Linked DNA regions of Schizosaccharomyces pombe. Each later gene encodes a partner of the first gene's protein in a complex. Each region holds a gene or a part of one and is shown in the gene's direction. Other genes may lie near its edges. The genes, in order: mrp4, SPOM_SPBC16A3.14, rsm10 and nam9.

Region 1 (4,696 bases):
ATGCTAAAATTGAGTTAGTAATTACAATCAAATTTTTAGAATATACGTACTTTGAGGATAGTTAAGGGCTGTGCAGCTTCAATGACTAAAGACGCATAAAGCTTCGCCAAGTTAACTATGCGTCTCATGGATATTTCTCTTTCTTCACTATCATCATCTGGTTGTAGTTCATTAAAGAAATCCCAAAGAGAGAATTGAAATGACTTTTTCAAATTGTGCTGCAATGTACAACATTTTAACGCTACCAAACCATAAAACGGGTTATACAATTTCTCATTACCAACGCAATGCAAAATTACATAAGCTATTTCAGGTAATTGATTCCTTTTGAGATGCAACTTCAGCACTCTTTCCCATGCATCAATGTAGTCCTAAGTTTGTTAGTTTAAAGTTAATGAAATTTAGAACGAATACCTCTGAACCAACAAGGGCAACGAATATCGAAGTTCGAAGAGTTGAATTCAATCTTAACTTCTTAGCAGCTTGTAAAATTTTTGAATGGGCCGTCAGTTCTTCTGATTTTTTCTTATCCTGTAATGCTTCAGTAGATAATGTGTTGTCACCAGATGGAACATTATTCCAAGAAGCTCCAACAAGCCACCATCGACCTTTCGTCTCAATCTGCTCAATATCTTCTAAAGTAACTCGTAAAGGCTCTCTAGCATTTAATGAGCGGTTGCCTAACGAACCCAAAAATTTCTTTAGCTGATTTACAGCTTCAAATTTAGATTGGGCGCTAGCATTGGCAACTTTTGTTTTTTTGTTTTCTTTAAGATTAGTGATCGATTCTACCATAAACTTTGTACGGACAGATATGGTTGATGGATCAGCTGAAGCTAATAACAAATTCATTTCCGTAACAATATCTTGGAGAGACGTCGGGTCATCTGATCGCAACTGCCCTCCACAATTGAGGACAATTTTGAGCAGCATTTCAACGTTCAATTCGGTTAAAGAGCGTAAAAAAAGGCGAATCAAATCATAAACAAGAACACATGAAACAAGTTGAAAATTATACAACTCAACAAAAAATACAATCAAGTTAGAAGTCTCCTTATGGGAAGAAAGAGGTTCTTTCTCTTTTGATTTATAAAGCTGCAAAAAACGTTCCACTAGGGTTTGCAATAGATGAGCACCAAAGTCATTGCCTACAATGCGGTAAAGAGCAGTGGCTAACGCAGCATATACTATGGCCAATTGATCTAGCATAGATTCTCTTCCCATTACGGTTTGTAGTAGCAAATTGGTGATGGTAGACGTGACTGAGTGTCTTGAATTTTCCATGTAAAGGACTTCAATCTCCTTAATAATTGAAGAAATATTTGCGATAGACAATTTGTTTAGCGATCCTTGTAATTTCCGACGAAGTCGCAGAGCATCTTCTGACTCCTTATCTCCCCCTAATTTTTTCCGTAAAGATGGAGGGACATACTTTGAGCCGACGTTCGCATTAGGTAAGGATGGGACTGCAGGCTTCAAAGGATCCATCCGAATCGGCTTAGTTTCAGGTTGATGGAATTCATCAGAATTAGACTCAAACCCATGAAACTCTTCCTCCTCCTCACCCGAATTTCCTTCCCTTTCACTTTCCAACTCATCAACGCTACCATGGTCACCTGTATCGTCTGAAACTTCAGAGTCTTCTGAATGACCATATGAAGGATCTTCAGTGCCCGGAACGCCTATGTCATCAATTTCTTGATCTAGGTCTTCTAAAAGCCATCCAAATTCCTTGTCAATTTTTGAGTGAGCAGATTTATCTTTGCTTTTGATGCCAAGCATCTTTTCTAAATGAGCGATTTCACGATCATCCTCTTCCAAAGCAATCTTATGCTGAAAAGCAATGGGATCGAGTAATTTACTCTCCTTTGCCTGTTTATTCTGTGAAGATTTTTTTTTTGTAGATGACTTTCTGTGAGCATCTAAGTAATCATCATTAAGTTCAGAAGACTTACTATCACCTTCTTCTGTAATCTTCCGGTTTTCATAACCATTTTTTCCTCGAGAGATCCTAGCAAATTTTCTTTTTTCACGATGAGGTAGATTATGATTTCGCTTTCCCCGCCTAGCACTCGAATCTATCAATTTGGTTAAATATACTGACCAAATCTATAAAAAAAAGCTTACCAGATTCTCCTATCTCTTCTAAAATACTTTTGGGCAGTTTTAAGCTTCTGCTTTTTTTAATTGGCCTCATACTATCGAATGTTTAAATATTAAACAAACGATAATTAATACTAAAGCTCAAGAACTACCAAATTTTTCAATTAAACGATACCAAAAACTGGTATAATTGCTTTACAAAGAGAAGAATTGGGCCTCAGTCTCGAGTTGGCGTATCGTTTCAAATGAATTTCACAACACTGCTAATGGAACTGTATACAATATCGCAATTTGTTAATGCTATTTAAAGTTGTCACTCTGCTGCTGTATTTTACATTAACGCTCTATGTAGTATCACACTAATAAAGCATATCGAAGTGGAAATGTTGCAATCGTGCAGCGATTTCAAAGTCTTAAAGTACTACTACACCAAACGGGCTTTCATTTTGCTCGAGTCATTCGTGTCTGTATTATGCTTTCACGGAAATTATCACCGGAGCAACTTGTAGCTCGTCGTTTAAAAATACGTGACTGGAATCACAAAATAGGTGCAGTTGTAGCTCCCCATTATTCACCGACATTATCCATTCGAAATCCGGCACCTCCTAGTCAACTTAGTCTTCCTTTATTGTTGTCTTCTGGTGCTCATTTAGGACACTCTACATCCATATGGAATCCTTACACGCAGCCCTTTATATATGGTAAAAGAGAAGGTATTCACATAATATCATTGGATCAAACCATGGTTTACCTACGAAGAGCTATATCCGTCGTTAGATCAATAGCTAAAGAAAATGGAATTATATTGTTCATTGGCACCAGAAACGGCCAGAAAGATTCTGTCGTTGCTGCTGCCAAACGTGCTAGAGGTTATCACATATTTGATCGTTGGCTACCAGGACTTCTCACCAATGCCAGAGAAGTACAAGGAAAGCTTGGCGGTTCAATTTTATGTAAAGATAATAGAGGGAAATTGATTCAAACTGATAAAAAACCAAGTTATGTCTTTCCTGATTTGATGGTTATACTAAACCCATTAGAAAACAAAAGTGCTTGTCTAGAGGCACAGAAAACTCATGTTCCAACAATTGGAATCATTGATACTGATGCGGATCCAAGGATGGTTACCTATCCTATTCCAGCAAATGATGATTCTTTACGGTGTACAGATTTAATAGCTGGTTTACTGAGTAGGGTAGCTGAGCAAGAGTACCAAAAAGCTAACCAAGCCTTCGAAAAAGATAAATTTACACTTCCTTTATGATTCCCCTCTCATTGTTTTGAAAATGCCTGTATTCTTTGATTTTTCTAAACATGATTAAAGATAAGGTCTGATTAATTTTCACTAGTATTCAATAAAATTAATGATTCGTAAACGAAAGGTTAAAAAGAAAGAATAAATTATTATGGATAACGTATATATCACATTTCAATGATTTGATGCCAAAATTTTTGTTAAAGACAGACATATTTTGCTGTGCGAAAGGAAATCATCGGTATGCTTTCACATTTTCTATAAACTCTTTTTTCAATTGTTGAATAGTCATCTTTCTAGTATCCCTTGAATTATGATTGTGTCTACTAGATACACTGAGAATTTCTTTGTCAACTTCGTCTTCTCCAATGACAATTTCATAATTATAATTTAAAAGTCTTGATTCACGTAGCCGTTTGCCAATAGATTGTGCTTCAGCGTTTATGTCCACATAATAGGTATTTTTATTGAGTGGGAGAAATTCAGATTCATTGACTTCCTGATTAGACAATTCCTTTTGTACTTGCTTAGCATAAGTTAGAATTCGATCTGTTTGATTGACTGGTAAAATGACAGCATGTCTAGGACTTAGCCAAAATGGCCAGTGTCCATTTAAATGCTCGATAAGGATTCCCATAAAGCGCTCTAAGGATCCAAATATAGCACGATGAATCATTACAGGTTGTTTAATGAGTTTCTCAGACCCGGCATTGTCTCCCGCATCTGTGCGATAATATAATTTAAATCGTTGAGGTAAATTAAAATCTAATTGAATAGTTGCCGTTTGATGCCACTTTCCACGAGCATCTGCAACCATTACATCGATCTTAGGACCGTAAAAAGCACCATCTCCTTCATTGATGATCCACGTTTCACCACTTTCTTGTAAAGCCTCTCGCAACCCGTTTTCTGCTTCATTCCATGTATCTAAAGAACCGATATGCTCTTCAGGTCGGGTGCTAAGGTATAGTTTTAGTTTGTTCATTCCCAATAAAGAATAAACTTGCTTCACAAAAGTGAGAGTATTTTTTATCTCGTCTTTTATGCTCTCGGGTGAACAAAAGATATGACCATCATCTTGATGAAAGCATCTTAATCTAGTTAGTCCAGAAAGTGCGCCTGATGCTTCATTCCTATGTAATGGACTGAAATCTGCAAACCGCAAGGGTAATTCTTTGTAAGAACGTTCAGTACTAGCATATACAATACAATGTCCGGGACAATTCATAGGCTTTAATCCATAAGTGGCATTGGAATGCTCATCCTCGACATTACGGCTTTCTTCAACACGAAATATTTCTTTCTCGTAGTTTTGCCAATGACCACTTTTTTCCCATA
Region 2 (4,847 bases), on another chromosome or scaffold:
CCCTCGTCCAGTTCCTCATAATGGAACCAAGCCTGATCATAAACCCTGGAAGCACGAGGAACACTGCCATCACGGTAAGTTTCCCCGTCCAATTCCTCACAATGGAACCAAGCCTGACCATAAACCCTGGAAGCACGAGGAACACTGCCATCACGGTAGGTTCCCTCGTCCAGTTCCCCACAATGGAACCAAGCCCGATCACAAGCCATGGAAGCACGAGGAACACTGCTCATGCCATCATGATAAGTTCTCTCGCCCAGTTCCTCATAATGGAACCAAGCCTGACCACAAACCTTGGAAGCACGAGGAACACTGCCACCATGGTAAGTTCCTTCGTCCAGTTCCTCACAATGTAACCAAGCCTGACCATAAACCCTGGAAGCACGAGGAACACTGCCATCACGGTAAGTTCCCTCGTCCAGTTCCCCACAATGGAACCAAGCCCGATCACAAGCCTTGGAAGCACGAGGAACACTGCTCTTGCCATGAAGACCATTCAGTTCATGAGCGTCCTAGTGCTAAAGGGGCTCTCGAGGACTATATTCAAACATTTGTAGAAACTTTCCAAATTGATGGTATTCGTTTCGATGCTATGGGTGACAAATATAGAAAGTACTGGCCAGATTTTTGCAAAGCTGCTGGAGTGTTTTGCATGGGTGACTTGAAATCTTCCGACTCTTTAAAAGTTTGTGATTGGCAAAACGACTTGGAAGGGTTGAGTAACTTCCCTGTTAGAGAATCTGCTGTAAAAGCATTTTTGATGAATAATCCAGAGGGAATTGTTGATCTTGCCGACAAAATGACTGACATGCGCGGTTTGTGTGTCAATCCCCTATTGTTAGGAAACTTCGTTGAGAACAAAGACCTTCCTAGAATGGCTTCAATTTCTAGTGATCCAGCCACCTTAAAGAATGCAATTGCTTTTGTTCTTATGGGAGATGGTATTCCTATGATGTACAACGGCCAAGAACTTGCCATGCGCGGTGAAGAGGTTCCTTATAATCGACCTGCAATTTGGGAGAAAGGTTTCCCAAAAAGAAATCCTTACTATAAGTTCACGTCTACAATCAATCGTTTCCGCAAAGCTATGATTGAAAGCAAAGACGGAGAAGCTTTCTTAAATATGCAGTCGGATATTAGCATCGTTGATAAAAGAATATTGCTTTTACGACGTGGCAAAGTAATAACCGTACTCAACAACTTAGGTTCATATTACATTCATTTCCATTATACTGTTTCGGCAGAAGAGCACAAGTGGATGGACGTATTATCTTGCAAGTCCGTTCCAGTACAAGATAATCGACAGGTATTTATGGTACGCAACGGTGAACCCATGATCTTGTACCCAGAGGAATCGGCTTATGAGATGGGATTGTGCCCATCTCCAATTCAGCTTACTGAAGATTATAACAGTGAAGGTTCTCTCTCCATTAACGTTGAAGAAGCCCAAACATCAAAGGCACCAGAGCAAAATCGAGGATTTACCAATGTCCTCGCCGCTCTTTTATTATCTTTGTTAATGATTTTGTAGGTATACGTTCCTTGAAATCTAATAATATACAGATTTTTTATTTTACATAAACCTTTTTCATATAAAGTATGATGACTTAGTTTACAGACCCATAGGGCTCTGTACTGAAGTTCATGAACGATAAGTCACCTCAATATAAATAATAGACGGGTAAATCCATTTTAATTTTTGGCTTTAAATTACAAAGTACTCAAGTAAAGCTTTAGCCAAAAAAATTTAAACTCCCATAATGATATCCGACGCAAACCGTCCAAACGTATTCATAATTGCGGTGGTGTGGCTAACTTGTATTTGACACAAGGCGAGCTGCGATACCCAAACACGTCCAGTTCCCTTAAATACTTCGTTGTTGGTTTATATAGGTATTTCAGCAAGTTATACCTAATATTCAGATAATTTGCTTATGCTCAACACAGGTCTACGAAAAGGGCTTGCGCTTTCACCGATAACTCACCTTCTGAAACGATGTAGTTCAGTTACAGACAATGTGCATCGAGTAAACTATTGCTACAATTACCACACAGTTCCTAATCTTTCACAAAGAAATTTGCTACCACTTTTCAGTCCTGAAGCTCTTGACATTGCCTGGGACCAGCATCAACGTCAAGTAGTAAAAGAATTAAATGATCGAGTGAAGGGAACAGAACTTGAGGATTCATCTGTGTTTAACATTATCTTTCAAACAGCCGCTTTGCCTGAGCATGCAGCCACATTCCAGTTTGCAAGTCAAGCTTACAACAATCATTTCTTTTTTCAAAGCTTGATCGGAAAAAGAGCTGCAGATGCCAAAAAAAACTCAAAATATGAAGCTAATGCCGCTATCAATAAAGCAGTCAATGAAAACTTTGGTTCTAAAGAAAATTTACTTTCTAAAATTCATGAGCTTGCCTCAAATAGTTTTGGAGCATGTTGGCTTTGGATTGTAATTGATGATTATAATAGATTAAACTTACTGAGAACTTTTCAAGCAGGTTCTCCGTATCTTTGGACTAGATGGCAATCAAATGATCCCCATCTTATTTCTAGTGTGCCAGATTATAGTGCCAGACCTCGAAAATATGCGCATGTTCCCATTTTAAACCTTTGTTTATGGAATCATGCATATTATAAAGATTACGGTCTTTTAAATCGCTCAAGATACATCGACACATGGTTTGATTGCATAGATTGGTCTGTCATTGAGGAAAGATTGACTAATTCTTTGGTATGAAAGAAAGGTGCAATCAATTTAGATAATTATATCTCATCACAATCTTGTTATGATTTTAAAAAAACGCCTTTTTCTACTTTCACCTTATAAATTTCATTCTAATTTTAATAAAAATTGTGTTTTCTCTACTCGTCCTTGAAACTTCTACAGTAGACTGTTTTGGCTCATGCTCGTATTCTAAATGATTTTAGGCTAATTCCGAGCAATCGAGTCATATAAGTTAAGTAATTTATTAACCAATTAACCGATTTATTGCTTAGAGGTTGAGATTAAAAACATTTTTTTTGTAAAGCTAGAAAAGCGCCAATACACAATGTAATTTACAGTTTATAGTGTCTCTTTTTCATGCAAAATTAAAAAAAAAAGATACCACAGAAAGGAGAAATTGAAATTTTACTGGTGGTTTATTTGCAAAGATAGAGTGGATTAGATTGATATCTAAATGAGAATTGACTAGTAAAGAAAAAGAATGTTCAAGTTAAAAAATCAGTGAGATAAGTGGACGAGCAATTTATCTCCTTGCCGCTGGGTGAACATTTTAACTCTCAAAGAAAGACAGACACCCTTTAGTTATTTGACCACAGGGCTGAATAAACAAAGATTAAAGAGACAAGGGTAGATGCAAGATATCTTCAAGTTATAAAACGAATGAAATAACGTATAAAAGCGATTATTGGATAAATTAATACTCTTCGTCAGCTTCGTACATTTCGTTATCCATAGAATCTTGACCAACCTCTTCGTAATCCCTTTCTAAGGCAGCCAAATCTTCTCTGGCTTCTGAAAATTCACCTTCTTCCATACCTTCACCGACATACCAATGAACAAAAGCACGCTTGCTGTACATAAGGTCAAACTTGTGGTCCAGACGAGACCAAGCTTCAGCAATCGAGGTGGTATTTGAAAGCATACAAACAGCACGATTTACCTTAGCGATTCCACTACCAGGAACGTGTTGGGGTGGCTCATAGCAAATACCGATTTTGAAACCAGTAGGGCACCAATCAACAAATTGGATGGTGCGACGAGATTTAATGCTAGTAACGGCAGCCTGGACATCACGTGGGATAACATCACCACGATACAAAAGACAAGTAGCCATATAGCGGCCAGTTCGTGGATCACATTTTACCATTTGATTATAAGGCTCAAAGCACTGATTCGTAATCTCTTGTACGCTGTTGGATTCATGGAATGCTTTAGCTGCACTGACAATAGGAGAATAAGTGACTAAAGGAAAGTGAATACGAGGGTATGGCACAAGATTAGTTTGAAACTCATTTAAGTCAACATTTAAGCTACCAGCAAATCGAAGAGAAGCGGTGATAGAAGAGACAACTTGAGCAATAAGGCGGTTGAGGTTTTCATAGGTTGGACGCTCAATGTCAAGATTTCGGCGACAGATATCGTAACAAGCCTCATTATCAACCATAAAGGTACAGTCAGAGTTATCGAGAGTAGCATGGGTAGTGAGCACAGAGTTGTAAGGTTCAACAACGGATGTGCTCACTTGAGGGGCGGGATAAACAGAAAATTGGAGGTTAGATTTCTTTCCGTATTCCATGTTCAAGCGCTCCAGAAGTAAAGCACCCAAACCCGAGCCGGTACCACCACCAAAAGAATGAAATACAAGGAAACCTTGGAGACCAGAACAATTGTCAGCCATACGACGTATCCTTTCTAATACACTATCAATCATTTCCTTTCCTACAGTATAATGTCCACGGGCGTAATTGTTAGAAGCATCTTCCTTACCAGTTACCATCTGTTCAGGATGAAACAGATCTTTATACGGTCCAGTACGAACTTGATCAATAACGTTAGGCTCAAGATCAACATAGATACTTCTAGGTACGAATTTTCCTTGCCCGGTTTCAGAAAAAAATGTACCGAATCCATCATTTAAATAGCTATTGTTTTTGTGAACTTCGGAGTTTTCTGTAGGAAAACCGTCGGGTCCTATGCCATGCTCCAAACAGTACAACTCCCAGCATGCTAGAAATGTTAGCTAAATTTTTTATGAAAAAATCGATTGCCAACTATTTAGAGTATACAGCAATACAAAAAGATGGATATTGAACATACCGTTACCGATTTGAACACCTG
Region 3 (6,471 bases), on another chromosome or scaffold:
AGCCACTATGAAAGGCTTTCCAAAGTGTTTTGCCAAAATAGCAAGATTATATGTGCCAATCTTGTTTGCAGTATCGCCATTACGAGTAACGCGGTCGGCGCCGACGACAATGGCATCGATTTTGTGCATAATTGAAGCAACCGTGGAATCTGTGACTAGAGTTGCTGGAATTTTATCATGAACCAACTCAAAAGCAGTGAGACGAGAGCCTTGGTTATAAGGGCGAGTTTCTGTACAATAAGCGTGTTCCAAGTTCCCCGATTCGTGTAAACTACGAATGATCCCCAAAGCTGTACCATAACCTGAGGTAGCTAAAGATCCAGTGTTGCAATGGGTCAAAACGGTGAGCTTGTCTTTATCTTTGTAATGCTGCAACAAGAATTTTCGGCCAGCAGTTCCAATATTGTGGTTGTCTTCTAAATCTTTTACTAGCATACGCTCCGCTTCCTGAATAATTTTATTTCGACAATTTTTTCCTTCTTGAAGAGCAATGCCTTGCATAAACTTTGCAGTTTCAAAAAGATTGACAGCGGTAGGACGAGACTGTTTGAGATGCTCAAAGCTATTTATAACATATTCTTTTGCATCTGCATCTTCAGAAAGATGTTTTAATCCGACAGCCACACTCAAAGCTGCTACAATAGCAATAGCTGGGGCCCCACGAACTTGCATTTTTTTTATGACAGCGAATGCGTCTTCTACATTACTAACTGAAATGTATTTACGCTCGTACGGAAGAAGTAATTGGTCTAATACAAGAAGCTTGTCCTCATTATAAATGATTGCTTGCAACGACATTCTGCCCAAATTTTTGAATATCTCTGCCTTTGAAAACTTTTACTTCACTAGCGCACGAACGCACATGCATCAGATAAAATTAAAGGATTTGATGAAGCTCGTAGCGATGCATTAATAGAAATAATGAATTAATATAAAGTTACACTGTGTAGTTTACTTAGGAACAAAAAATAGTACATTAAGTTTAATATAAATTTATAAGAAGAGTTAACGCAGTCTTTCGTACTTTTGACACTGCTTATAGATAGATAAAATTAGCAACCCTAACTTAATATTGTGCTTCTTATTTATCCGCACTATTTGATATGCATCTAACATTTTGAACGCGTAAACAAAAAATTTAGACTCATTCAAAGATGTAAGTTCCATCGTCAAATTATATTACCAAGTTATTTTGATAATGAGTATGGTGCCTTGAATTATAGATTAAAAAATGTATCACCGAATTTATTTTTAATAATGAGTCGATCTGACATATTAGAATCAAGGAATAATAATATGCATTGATGTTTTATGAAGGAATTACAGCTGTAGAACCTATGTATACAAACTTCAAACTTTTAAAGATGAGAACGATATATTTTTTTCGTTTTCCAGAAAAGCCATGCTTGAAGTATTTATCAAGATGTTCGGTAGTGTCAATTTAATAATCATATGTGCGACTTTGACTTTGACATGCAGCAAGAAGTTGTTGACACCAACCTATCTGCTTGAAAAGTGATACTCGTTTGCAATACTTAAATATATATATATATATATCAGTGATCGCAAGTCAGTTTTGAATGCAGGATTGGTAAACAAGGGTCGCAAGTTAATATATTTATATAGCTGTCTGCTGTAACAGTTTAACATACAACCTTGAAACTGTAAAACATTGAATATTTTTCATTGTTAAAGCCAATTTAAATGAGAACGATTATTGTGTTACGAGGTAAGCATTTAATTCCAAAATCCCTATGTATTCTTGTAGTATAAAGTAATTTGAATGACAAATCAGTAGATTCTTCCATAATTGCAAGTAGGATGCCAGTCCCAAACCTTTAATTCCTAGCTCAAAAGCACAATTGTTCAGTTCACACTTTTGTTAACTTCCGGAATTTGTTATTGTAAAATAATTGTCTCCTCATAATTTTAAAAAATTACATCTCATTGCTGACTGAGAACTCTCATCATACTGGTCAATTTTAAATTGTGCTGAAAGCCTTATAATCACAAATATTCATGTTTAATCGAATTTTTTTGGTTTTCTTCACTATGGTGCATCAATAATATTTTTAGTACAGTACAATCACACCCACCTTTGAATTCTAAACTTTGACCTTCAAATGCAAATAAAAAATTTATAGTTAGATCGTTCCATCATAGTATAAATTACAGAATGATATTGCTTTTTTAAAATAAATGTTACCATCTACGTGTTTTTCAAGGTATTCACGCGCGAACGACATTTAAAATGATTTCGCTCCGCTTGTTTATGTTCAATTAAAACATTGATTAATAACCCCTTAGTCCTACGATAATTGTGTTAAACTGAATATGATGGTGGATGACAAGTGTAGCTCGACCATTACTCCCCACTCCAACCAAAAAATTTTGTTAAAAAAAAACACCTTTACAGTGTTTAATTGTTGGAATTTTGTTCTTGTGGTTTTCTTAACAAGTATTTTAAGTAACCGGCTAAAATATTAATCATGAAACGGTATATGTTTGGTACATTACCTCGCGTGCAACCGAAACGTTGTTTCCAGACAGCTATTGGCAAAGAATCACCGTATGTATTCAATCCTTTCCTCTAATTTAAGCTATAATTTTGTACATTCTAACCCCAATTTATTAGCAAAGGGAACAGCGAAAAGGATCAACTTTTTGAGAATCCATTTTTTCAACAGCTTCCTTCCAACGTTGCAGCTGTATATTTGAACCCTGTTAAATTCAATCCTTCTGAAAACGACGTACTTTGTGCTTCTCTAAAAATTAAAAGCTTTGAAACTCCAAAACTTGATACGTTTACCGACTTCATTTGTCGAACAGCGTATTACATGAAAATTCCAATCAAGGGTCCACGTCCATTACCCAACAAAGTAGAAAGCTGGACTTTACTCCGATCACCTTTTATTCACAAATCTTCTCAGGAGAATTTTGAACGTATTACGCACTCTCGACTTATACAACTGTACAGTGTCAATCCAGTTACTTTAGAAACGTTTTTTAGTTATTTACGAAAATGCAACATGTGGGATTTAAAATTGCAAGCAAAAGCTTATGAATACGAATCCATCGATGATGCCCTTAAAAACTTCGAGTCACAGTCTAAGTCTACTGATAATTTCAAAGAATTGTTAAACGGTCCTTCGAAAAAAGATATAATCACACAAAATGCCGAAAAATTGCTCAGAAACGACCCCATTTACAAAGATTTGTTAAAAAATTCATCTCGAAAATAAAAATTAACTAATGTGTTTTCAATTACTCTGATGTTGGACCGTTTATTAGCAAAAATACTCTGACTGTATTCGTACTTTTTTTTTTAACAATATGACACTAGCTTTTCTTCATTAAAAGTGTTCTTTAACTAAAAACGTTACGAATAGTCCACACTTGTTTCGTTAGTTTTCCTCACCAGTAATTTTTGAAGTTTCTTGGGGATTGCTTTTCGAAAGAACAAAACCCGCAAGTGCCTTAGGTCCTTCAGATTTTTCCATTTCAAGCTGTTCCATTGGATCCATTGGTGCTGCTGCACTTTCAATTTTAGCTGCTCTCTTCGCTATATGAAGGGAATCAGTGCTAAACTTAGTTTGTACAGACCGTTTAATACGAAGCATTTCTTTAACTGTTTCTTCTGGATTTCCGTACCTTATTTCAAATTCTTGCCATGCTTTCCAATAATCCGTTTCAACTCTTGGATCACAGTATTGACTTCCATGAATATATATTAAACGAGCACGATCGATTTCACCAAGTTTCGTCTCCATTTCAGCAAACCTTAAGCACATATCTTTGACTTCTGAGTCACTCAGGGATTCAATAGCCTTCTCATAAACTGTCCTTGTCGCCAGTACACCATAATTTAATGCCACTTTAACGAGTAACACATTGTAAATAGCAAGACGGTCTGCTGTTTTAACCTTGTCGGCCGCTTTTTCTAAAATAGAAATGGATCTTTTTGCTTTGCCAAACTTTTCTTCGAAATCGGCATACAGAAGATAAATACTTTTCGAAAATTCGGGCGGACATCCTTCTAATGCTTGTTCAAATAAATCCCTGGTCCTTTCCATATGCGTTCCTTGATATCGTTTAACAAATTTTGTTAAATATAAATTCCAAAGTTCAAAAGCCACGGGATAACTAAATAACGCAACACCTCTCTCATAAATTTTAAATGAATCTTCAAAATAAGCATTCTCCTCTAAGAGATTTGCATAATTGACAACCACCTGGGGAGTAGCAATTTTTAGTTCAAAGACGCGGTCGTACAATTTGCGTGTAGTTTCAATCGTACCAACGCTTTCCTCAAGATCAAGATAATACATCCATATCTTAGATGACTTGTGTAGCCGTACTTGTGGACTGAGTGATTCATCAAAAAAGCTGATATGACTTTTTCTAGGAGCATGAACGGCATCTCCTATTAATTTTCTCGCAGCGTCAAAATTTTGATGTCGAAGTTCCATCTCGGCCCAGTCAATCCAAACTTGTGCTAACTCATTGACTGTTTTATATGGTACATGAGTAGCCTTTTCAAAAATTATCCTTGATTGTTCTAAATCATCAAAATTTTCATAAAAACGAGCAAACTCTGAAAACAATTTGCCGAGGGAGCCATGCGCCAGCTTTGGATTTACATTTTTTATAGCGTCTGTGTAAACTTGAACAACTTTTTCGCTGTCGTCTTCTAAAAACTTGACTCGGCGAAGCCATTCGTCAACGTTATTTATATTTTGCCTTAATAATACATCATTGATATAAAGCGGACGTTTGTCAAGTATTTTCTCGAGCCAGGCCATATGAAAATCGATACTTAATTCGTCATTTGCATTTCCGCTGCTTGCTTCAACTCGTGCAGATAGCCATTGCTCTTCGAATTCAACAAAAGCATCGAATATAATTGTAAAATTTCTTACAGTCATTATGTTATTCATCCCTTCATAGAATGTGCTTCTTGCCTGTACGATAAGTTAGTTTTTGCAATAAGGGGTCAATAAACAAACCAGTTAAACATACCTTCTCGTAGTCACCAATGCGTATATAATATTGTGCCAAATAAGTCCATAGTTTCCCTGCTTGATCAGAAAACCTTTTAATGCCAGCTCTAAAAACCTTTTCTACGTCTATGTTTTGCGTATGGTCAGGATGCTGAACAACTAACTCGGAAAACTCGAGCCATATCTGATAATTGCTCTTCCTTTTTGCTGATAAAAACACGGGCCGATTTAAAATATCCTCATATTGTCGAGCAGCTTCATTCCACAGCCCTAATTTACAAAGTATCTCAATGTAGTTTTCAATTGCTCTTGGTTCTACTTGTATATATCTGCGGTAGACATGGATGCAAAATAATCCTCCAATATCTTCAGCATATTTCGTAAACATGTCCCAAATATCATCGTGCTGAGTTACCGGTAAGGCGCGAAGTGCAGAGTTAAATGTACAACGAATCTTAGTGACATTTGGTTGTTTCATCAAAAATTGTAAATATAGTTTCCAAATAACAGGCATTTTATGCAATAAAATCAAAGAGCGCTCAAAACAATCGTTTACAGAAGCAAAAGCTTCGGCATGAAAATATGGGTTCAAATGTTCAACATGCGCTACACGTAGTTCCAAATAGCTTTTCCATATTTTATAGCTTCCCGGGAGTTCTGAACAAGCTCTTTCAAATAAAAGCACACGCTTTTCCAAAGTAGATCCTTCATGGGTCTTTATATATCGTAACCAACTTTTCAGAGAATATGGATCACGTAGCAATTCAAGCTCAAACGGCTCGTCATCAACATTAATTAGATCAAAATTAACTTTCAGTGGAATAACATCTCCCATTTCTAATCCTTTTGATTGTTTTCTAAAGAAGCCCGATGTAGGCTGTTGTCGTGCATACAATAGACCTTGGGCAAGTGAAAAATATGAAGTTCAATTTTAACCCCATAAGATGAAACTTAATTGAGAAAGCACATTGCTTATAAGATATAAAACAAATAAATTACAGAATTAAAAGACTGTCTATATGCCCACCTCTAGGGAATTAAGCCAAAGTATGTTGATAAATCAGAGCTACAAAATACAGCCCTTCGATTTCTATTTCATTTGTTGTAAATCACTATCCATAACGACCTTCTGCTATTTAACTACCCTTATCAGTAAACCTCTTCTGTACTTCGAATTTATTCATTGATTGCTATATTCAAATTATATTTATACGAAACGCAAAATCGCTTCACCTGGTAGATATAAAGCTAATAGTGGTGCTAATGTGACTTTTGGTCATAAAAATTAACGAGTATTCAAACTAGTTATCACTAATTAGGAGCGGCAAAAACACTAATTGTACATATAATCAGCTTACAAAAATCACATCGAAATGCCTAAATCCTTGACTAATTGTTTGCAATATATACTATAAACAAAGAAACAATCAATACTAAGACAAACTCCAAATTAATACACGAACATATATAT
Region 4 (4,900 bases), on another chromosome or scaffold:
AGATTGGTTTATTATGGGCGTTATTTCGACTGGATTTGCATGGTCGGCGTATTCATTAGTAAAGGTACGTTCAAAAAACTGAACATTTAAAATATTCGTGCTGTTTTAACATAATTAAATTTAGAAATACATAGCACCAATGTTTCGCGCACCATCTCAAAACGCTTATGAAGCTGATAAAAACGCTTTGGATGCTAAATTTCTAGAAGCTCATAAAATACTCGAAAATTTAGATGAACAAACAAGAAAGCTTTCCGAGAGAACTGAAAAACAGCAAGATGAATTGGACATTGCGTTAGATGATTTAGAAGAGACGTTGAATACTTTGAAGCGTACGTCCGAAAACCGAGATCGTGAAATAGCTAGAATCTCACAAGATGTATATACCATGAGTACTATTACTTTACCACAAAGTCTTGAGCAAATTAAGAAATCTCAAGAAGAAGCATTACAAAACCTTTCGAGAGAAATTAGCTCTCTACGATGTTTACAAACTGATTCAAAAAAAGACGACACTTTCGCTACCACATCAAACTCTTCGATACCAGTATTAGAGAATCCTTTAGATACTTCAGAAGGTTTTCAAACTAAAAAGGTTGGTACTGCCTCCCTTCCAGATTGGCAAATATCAATGCATAACGAGGCTTCTAAAAACATTGATTTCAATGATATTGATCCCGCAGAGTCTTACGTTGCAGAAGATGCTTATTGACAGTAATAAAACAAATCACTAATAACAATTAAATTCAGGATTTTTTCTAGAATAATACTTAATGTCATTTAACTGGTCTGTCAAGACGCATCTTAATCATTTAACAATCTGCATTCTGCATCAGCTAATAAATGTATATTATATAATAAAGGAGAGTCAAGTAGATATAATAAAAAGCAAGTTTGCTGCAAGGTTAAATGTAGTATCTTACATCACAATCTCACCAACCAAACCAACCTTTATTTCTTTATGAGGAAGTACAAGGCAATTTTGAACGCGTACTTCATCATGGACTATACAATCGGCGCCCATAACAGTAATAGCTTGGACTTTAACGCTGTTACGCATAATCGTAGTGGAGTGCTGGCTTGGAAGAGTTGGAGAACCTTCGACTCGAGACCATTTACCAATCTTGCAATGGCGGGAAAGAATGGAATGTAAAACAACAGCATTGGCAGAAATTTCGCAATCCTCTTGAATAATTGAGTTTCGAATACGTGCGCCATCCTCGATGCGAACACGAGCACCAATTGAAACATTGGGTCCAATCTTTGCACCTTTGCTAACAATAGCATTAGGATGAATAAAAACCGGCTGAATGATCTCAGCCTCAGTGTCGGGTTTTGGAAGAGTACCATCATGATATGCCTTTTGTAAATACAAGGAATTAGCAGGAACAGCAGAGCCAGCGGTTTTTATTTGACGCCAGAACTCAGGAGTATTATAAGCATAAATGGCTTTAGAGGAATCTGAGCACAATGGAGCAAGCACATCGGTCTCCAAACTGAGGTAGTCTTCCATTCCTTCATCCAAGGACCTGAGTTGCTTCTCGACCTCCTCAAGTCTACGCTCGTACGCTTTTTTGATTTCATCGAATATAGAGGCATCAAAGATATAAATACCACATGAAATAATATTTGAAAGATAGGAGCTTGGCTTATCAACATAATGAAGTACACGCCCAGTACTTGGTTCCTCTACAAGGCAACCGAAGTTAGAAGCATCTTCTTTACTAACCTTAGTAGCCATTAAAGTAACTAAAGCTTTCTTCTCGTGATGAACGTTTAACAATTCTTGTAAGGGAAAACTGCAACACACATCCGCATGCATAACAAAAACATTAGAAGTATGTCCTTTAAGGATTTGATCACGGAAATGGTATAAGCCGCCACCAGTTCCTAAGCAGTTGTATTCACGGAGATACTTGATACGATTGAAACTGGGGAAATGCGAAGCTACTTCGTTGATAAAATCTTTGAAAACGCTTTCATCGTAGAAACCAACCAAAAAGACATCTTTAACACTTTCAATCTTGGATAAAGCCGCCAAATGATGGTAAATCATTTCTCGTCCTCCAATTTTAAACAAAGGCTAATTTAGTTAGCAAAATAGCTCTTATGTTTCAAATGCAACTAGAAAGTAAAACTGGATTACGTATTTTACCAACATATAAATTCTAAATAAGACGTACTTTAGGGACATCAAACGAAAGAGGGCGGAATCGGGTACCACTGCAAAGTAATTAGTTACTGATATTCACGCGTTTAATAGACTTATTTTTCGTTGGTACGTACCGAGATGGACCCCCGACCAGAATGACAGCAGAGGAAATCATAATAGCAATTTAATACTAAAAAATCAATAATGAGTATCAAAATCACCAAAAACGAAAGAGATATACGCCTCTTGAAACTTGGTGTGTGGTTCTGTGCAAGTCCTGTCCAGCTCTCCTTTGTTTAATAAGGAAGGTAGCGCTATGAGCTAACTTCTGCCAGTTCATATTTGCACTTAATAGCCTGGCTGCAGAAGATAATACTCTATGTAACAATGAAATACTAATGTAAATCAATTTAGTTCAAAAACCCATGATCTAAAAATTGTGCTGCAGGCTGAGGCACTTTGCCAGCCGTGAGGAACTTAATGCTCATCATCAGCTGTTTTGCAGAAAATAGTAAAGCACCTTCTAGCTTTGGTACAAATTATAATGCATTAAAACTTAAATAAATAAAATTTACTAATTGAATTTTCGAGTAAAAGTAGCCTTTTTAAAAATTTGTTCTCTTTAATCACCTTTATGAATTTACCATCAACTTCACGCACTACGCTGGAAGATTGGACTCTCGTGACAAAGACTTAATTGCTCATGAAGGGGAAATTTAGGTTCTCTTTAAAGCGCGGTGTATGTTATATATGAAATTATTGATTTTTTCGCTTTTATTAATACATATCTAGCTTTTGCGTCCGTCGTGGAACAAATACAATATATACAACATTGCAAGAAAACAACTACCTGCTCTGAATAATAGAACTTTATATCAAAAAAAATGGAATGCGAAGAAGGAAACAAGGTCTTATCATGGTCCTCAATTACGCGAATATCAACTGAAAAATGCCTTCCGCCCAAAATTGGAGGGGGTTATTTCTTCCTTAGATAATAAGCTTCCCATCCCTTTTATGAATCAGACTTATGCATTTTTGGAATCCCGTTTAGACATGTCTATTCATCGAGCGTTATTTGCGTCTAGCGCTTTACAGGCTCGCCAACTGGTGCTTCATGGAAAAGTGCACGTAAACGGAAAACCTGAACGCCGTGCCTATCGTCAACTCTTACCTGGTGATTTAGTAACTGTTGATCAAAAATCAGTAATGAATTGTGTTTCTGCCTCTAGTAACAATACCCCTTCTATACAGGATGGGAAGCAAACTGAACAGGTGTCCTCTAAGGATGGAGAAAATGAAAAAAAAAAGGATAATGATGATGATTTATTTGAACAGACTTCTAATGGAAAGTTGCCCTCTATCAATGAAACAATTTCCAACTTTGTTCCTAAACCGTTTATGTCACTAATGGCATTTATCCCTGCTTATTTAGAAGTTTGCTTCCGCACTTGTTCCTTTGTTTATGTGCGTGATCCAGTTGCTCGTCCTGGCTTAACGGAAGTTCCTTCTCCATTTCCTGAAGACTTGCACGCTTTAGCCTATACATACTATATCAGAAGTCGTAATATGCGGCAAGGAGCAGCTAGATGTCAGGCCAGACGGCTTATTCCGCAGAAAGTACGCGATGCATCATTTTATCAAGGACCTCCTGAATTATATAAAAAACGAAATGTTTCTCCCAAAGAAGCATTCTCTCATCGGTATCCAGTTCGTCAAGGAAAGTTGACGAAACTCGTATAAATCGAATAAATGAACTCCTCTCAAAAGTTTAGTAATAAAATATAAAACATTCTCAATTATGCTTTTTGTAATACTATGTTGATTTCCACTTTTGTTTTCCTGCTCTATGAAGTAACTGCCCTGTCTACTGCTATCCACGTAACCAAATCTTATACACATACAAGAACTGGCACATCTTTTTTCATGTACCAAAAGGAGGCCTTTTATCGTGGACGTAGCTCAACAAGACAATTTAACAATACCCGATCTCCATCTGGACGTTCAGCGTCGCGTTCTTCCAATTTCTCACATCGGTCTAGTAGTCGTGATTCTTTTTCCTCGAATAGATCTTACTCGAGTTCGCTTTCCAGATCTCCAGAAGAACCATTGCGAACAGTACGTTTTCCATGTATAATTAGTTATTTAAGGCATACTAATCGTTTCTAATACGATGCAAAATAGATTCTTGTGGAAAATTTGACGCGTAATGTCACTAAAGAACATATAGCAGAAATATTTGGGATTTATGGACTAATTGATCATATTTTCATGCCAATTTATAAAAAATGTGAGTGAGCTTTTATTTTTTATGAATTACACCCACTAACTTTGCAGCTGAATTGAATAAAGGGTATTGCTACATAGAATACGTATACCATGACCAGGCCGCAAACGCCGTCGATAAGATGAACAACGCTGAGCTTGATGGTGAGGAGTTGTTTGTATCGATAAAACGTTTTCCTTTTGAGTCACTACACAAAAACCATAAGCACTACGAAAACTCGTATCGACCATCAAGGTCACAAAACAATTCACATTACAACGATAAATCGTTTCATCGCTCCAGATATTCTCGGGCACGTAGCCGATCTCCAGGTTCCAATATATCTGAATATTCTGATCAATCACCCCCCTATCACTCCTATAGACATCGTCCTTAATCCCGCAAATTGTGGCCTACTGAATAAAAAAGAAAAGTGAAAACAAATTTCCAGTTTGAAAGCTTTATTATGTCGTTGTTTGATACGT

What was found.
Region 2: mrp4 (region 1) and SPOM_SPBC16A3.14 share a complex: the UniProt entries of both Schizosaccharomyces pombe proteins name them as parts of the mitochondrial small ribosomal subunit.
Region 3: mrp4 (region 1) and rsm10 share a complex: the UniProt entries of both Schizosaccharomyces pombe proteins name them as parts of the mitochondrial small ribosomal subunit.
Region 4: mrp4 (region 1) and nam9 share a complex: the UniProt entries of both Schizosaccharomyces pombe proteins name them as parts of the mitochondrial small ribosomal subunit.

What each region holds. Positions count from the first base shown.
Region 1 is NC_003424.3:3,064,089-3,068,784, reverse strand, and holds mrp4 (mitochondrial 37S ribosomal protein uS2m), read left to right. Parts: upstream 1-2,518; 5' UTR 2,519-2,575; coding exon 2,576-3,367; 3' UTR 3,368-3,459; downstream 3,460-4,696. Other genes in the region: sgd1 (ribosome small subunit biogenesis protein), read right to left, coding at 1-3, 51-371, 415-2,078, 2,128-2,197; SPOM_SPAC24C9.09 (threonine--tRNA (Thr) ligase), read right to left, coding at 3,594-4,696. UniProt on the Schizosaccharomyces pombe protein: Component of the mitochondrial ribosome (mitoribosome), a dedicated translation machinery responsible for the synthesis of mitochondrial genome-encoded proteins, including at least some of the essential transmembrane subunits of the mitochondrial respiratory chain.
Region 2 is NC_003423.3:4,269,025-4,273,871, reverse strand, and holds SPOM_SPBC16A3.14 (mitochondrial ribosomal protein subunit S26), read left to right. Parts: upstream 1-1,839; 5' UTR 1,840-1,934; coding exon 1,935-2,741; 3' UTR 2,742-2,881; downstream 2,882-4,847. Other genes in the region: meu7 (alpha-amylase 4), read left to right, coding at 1-1,531; nda2 (tubulin alpha 1), read right to left, coding at 3,424-4,736, 4,827-4,847. UniProt on the Schizosaccharomyces pombe protein: Component of the mitochondrial ribosome (mitoribosome), a dedicated translation machinery responsible for the synthesis of mitochondrial genome-encoded proteins, including at least some of the essential transmembrane subunits of the mitochondrial respiratory chain.
Region 3 is NC_003423.3:3,867,804-3,874,274, forward strand, and holds rsm10 (mitochondrial 37S ribosomal protein uS10m), read left to right. Parts: upstream 1-2,364; 5' UTR 2,365-2,489; coding exon 2,490-2,569; intron 2,570-2,635; coding exon 2,636-3,242; 3' UTR 3,243-3,404; coding exon of another isoform or gene 3,405-4,961; 3' UTR 4,962-5,017; downstream 5,018-6,471. Other genes in the region: mri1 (methylthioribose-1-phosphate isomerase), read right to left, coding at 1-798; protein Cwf3, read right to left, coding at 3,405-4,961, 5,020-5,835. UniProt on the Schizosaccharomyces pombe protein: Component of the mitochondrial ribosome (mitoribosome), a dedicated translation machinery responsible for the synthesis of mitochondrial genome-encoded proteins, including at least some of the essential transmembrane subunits of the mitochondrial respiratory chain.
Region 4 is NC_003423.3:3,727,244-3,732,143, reverse strand, and holds nam9 (mitochondrial 37S ribosomal protein uS4m), read left to right. Parts: upstream 1-2,794; 5' UTR 2,795-2,855; coding exon 2,856-2,891; intron 2,892-2,944; coding exon 2,945-3,892; 3' UTR 3,893-3,949; downstream 3,950-4,900. Other genes in the region: protein Pex14, read left to right, coding at 1-64, 125-712; mpg2 (mannose-1-phosphate guanyltransferase), read right to left, coding at 920-2,083, 2,184-2,223, 2,287-2,327; rns1 (putative RNA-binding protein), read left to right, coding at 4,076-4,267, 4,334-4,439, 4,487-4,812. UniProt on the Schizosaccharomyces pombe protein: Component of the mitochondrial ribosome (mitoribosome), a dedicated translation machinery responsible for the synthesis of mitochondrial genome-encoded proteins, including at least some of the essential transmembrane subunits of the mitochondrial respiratory chain.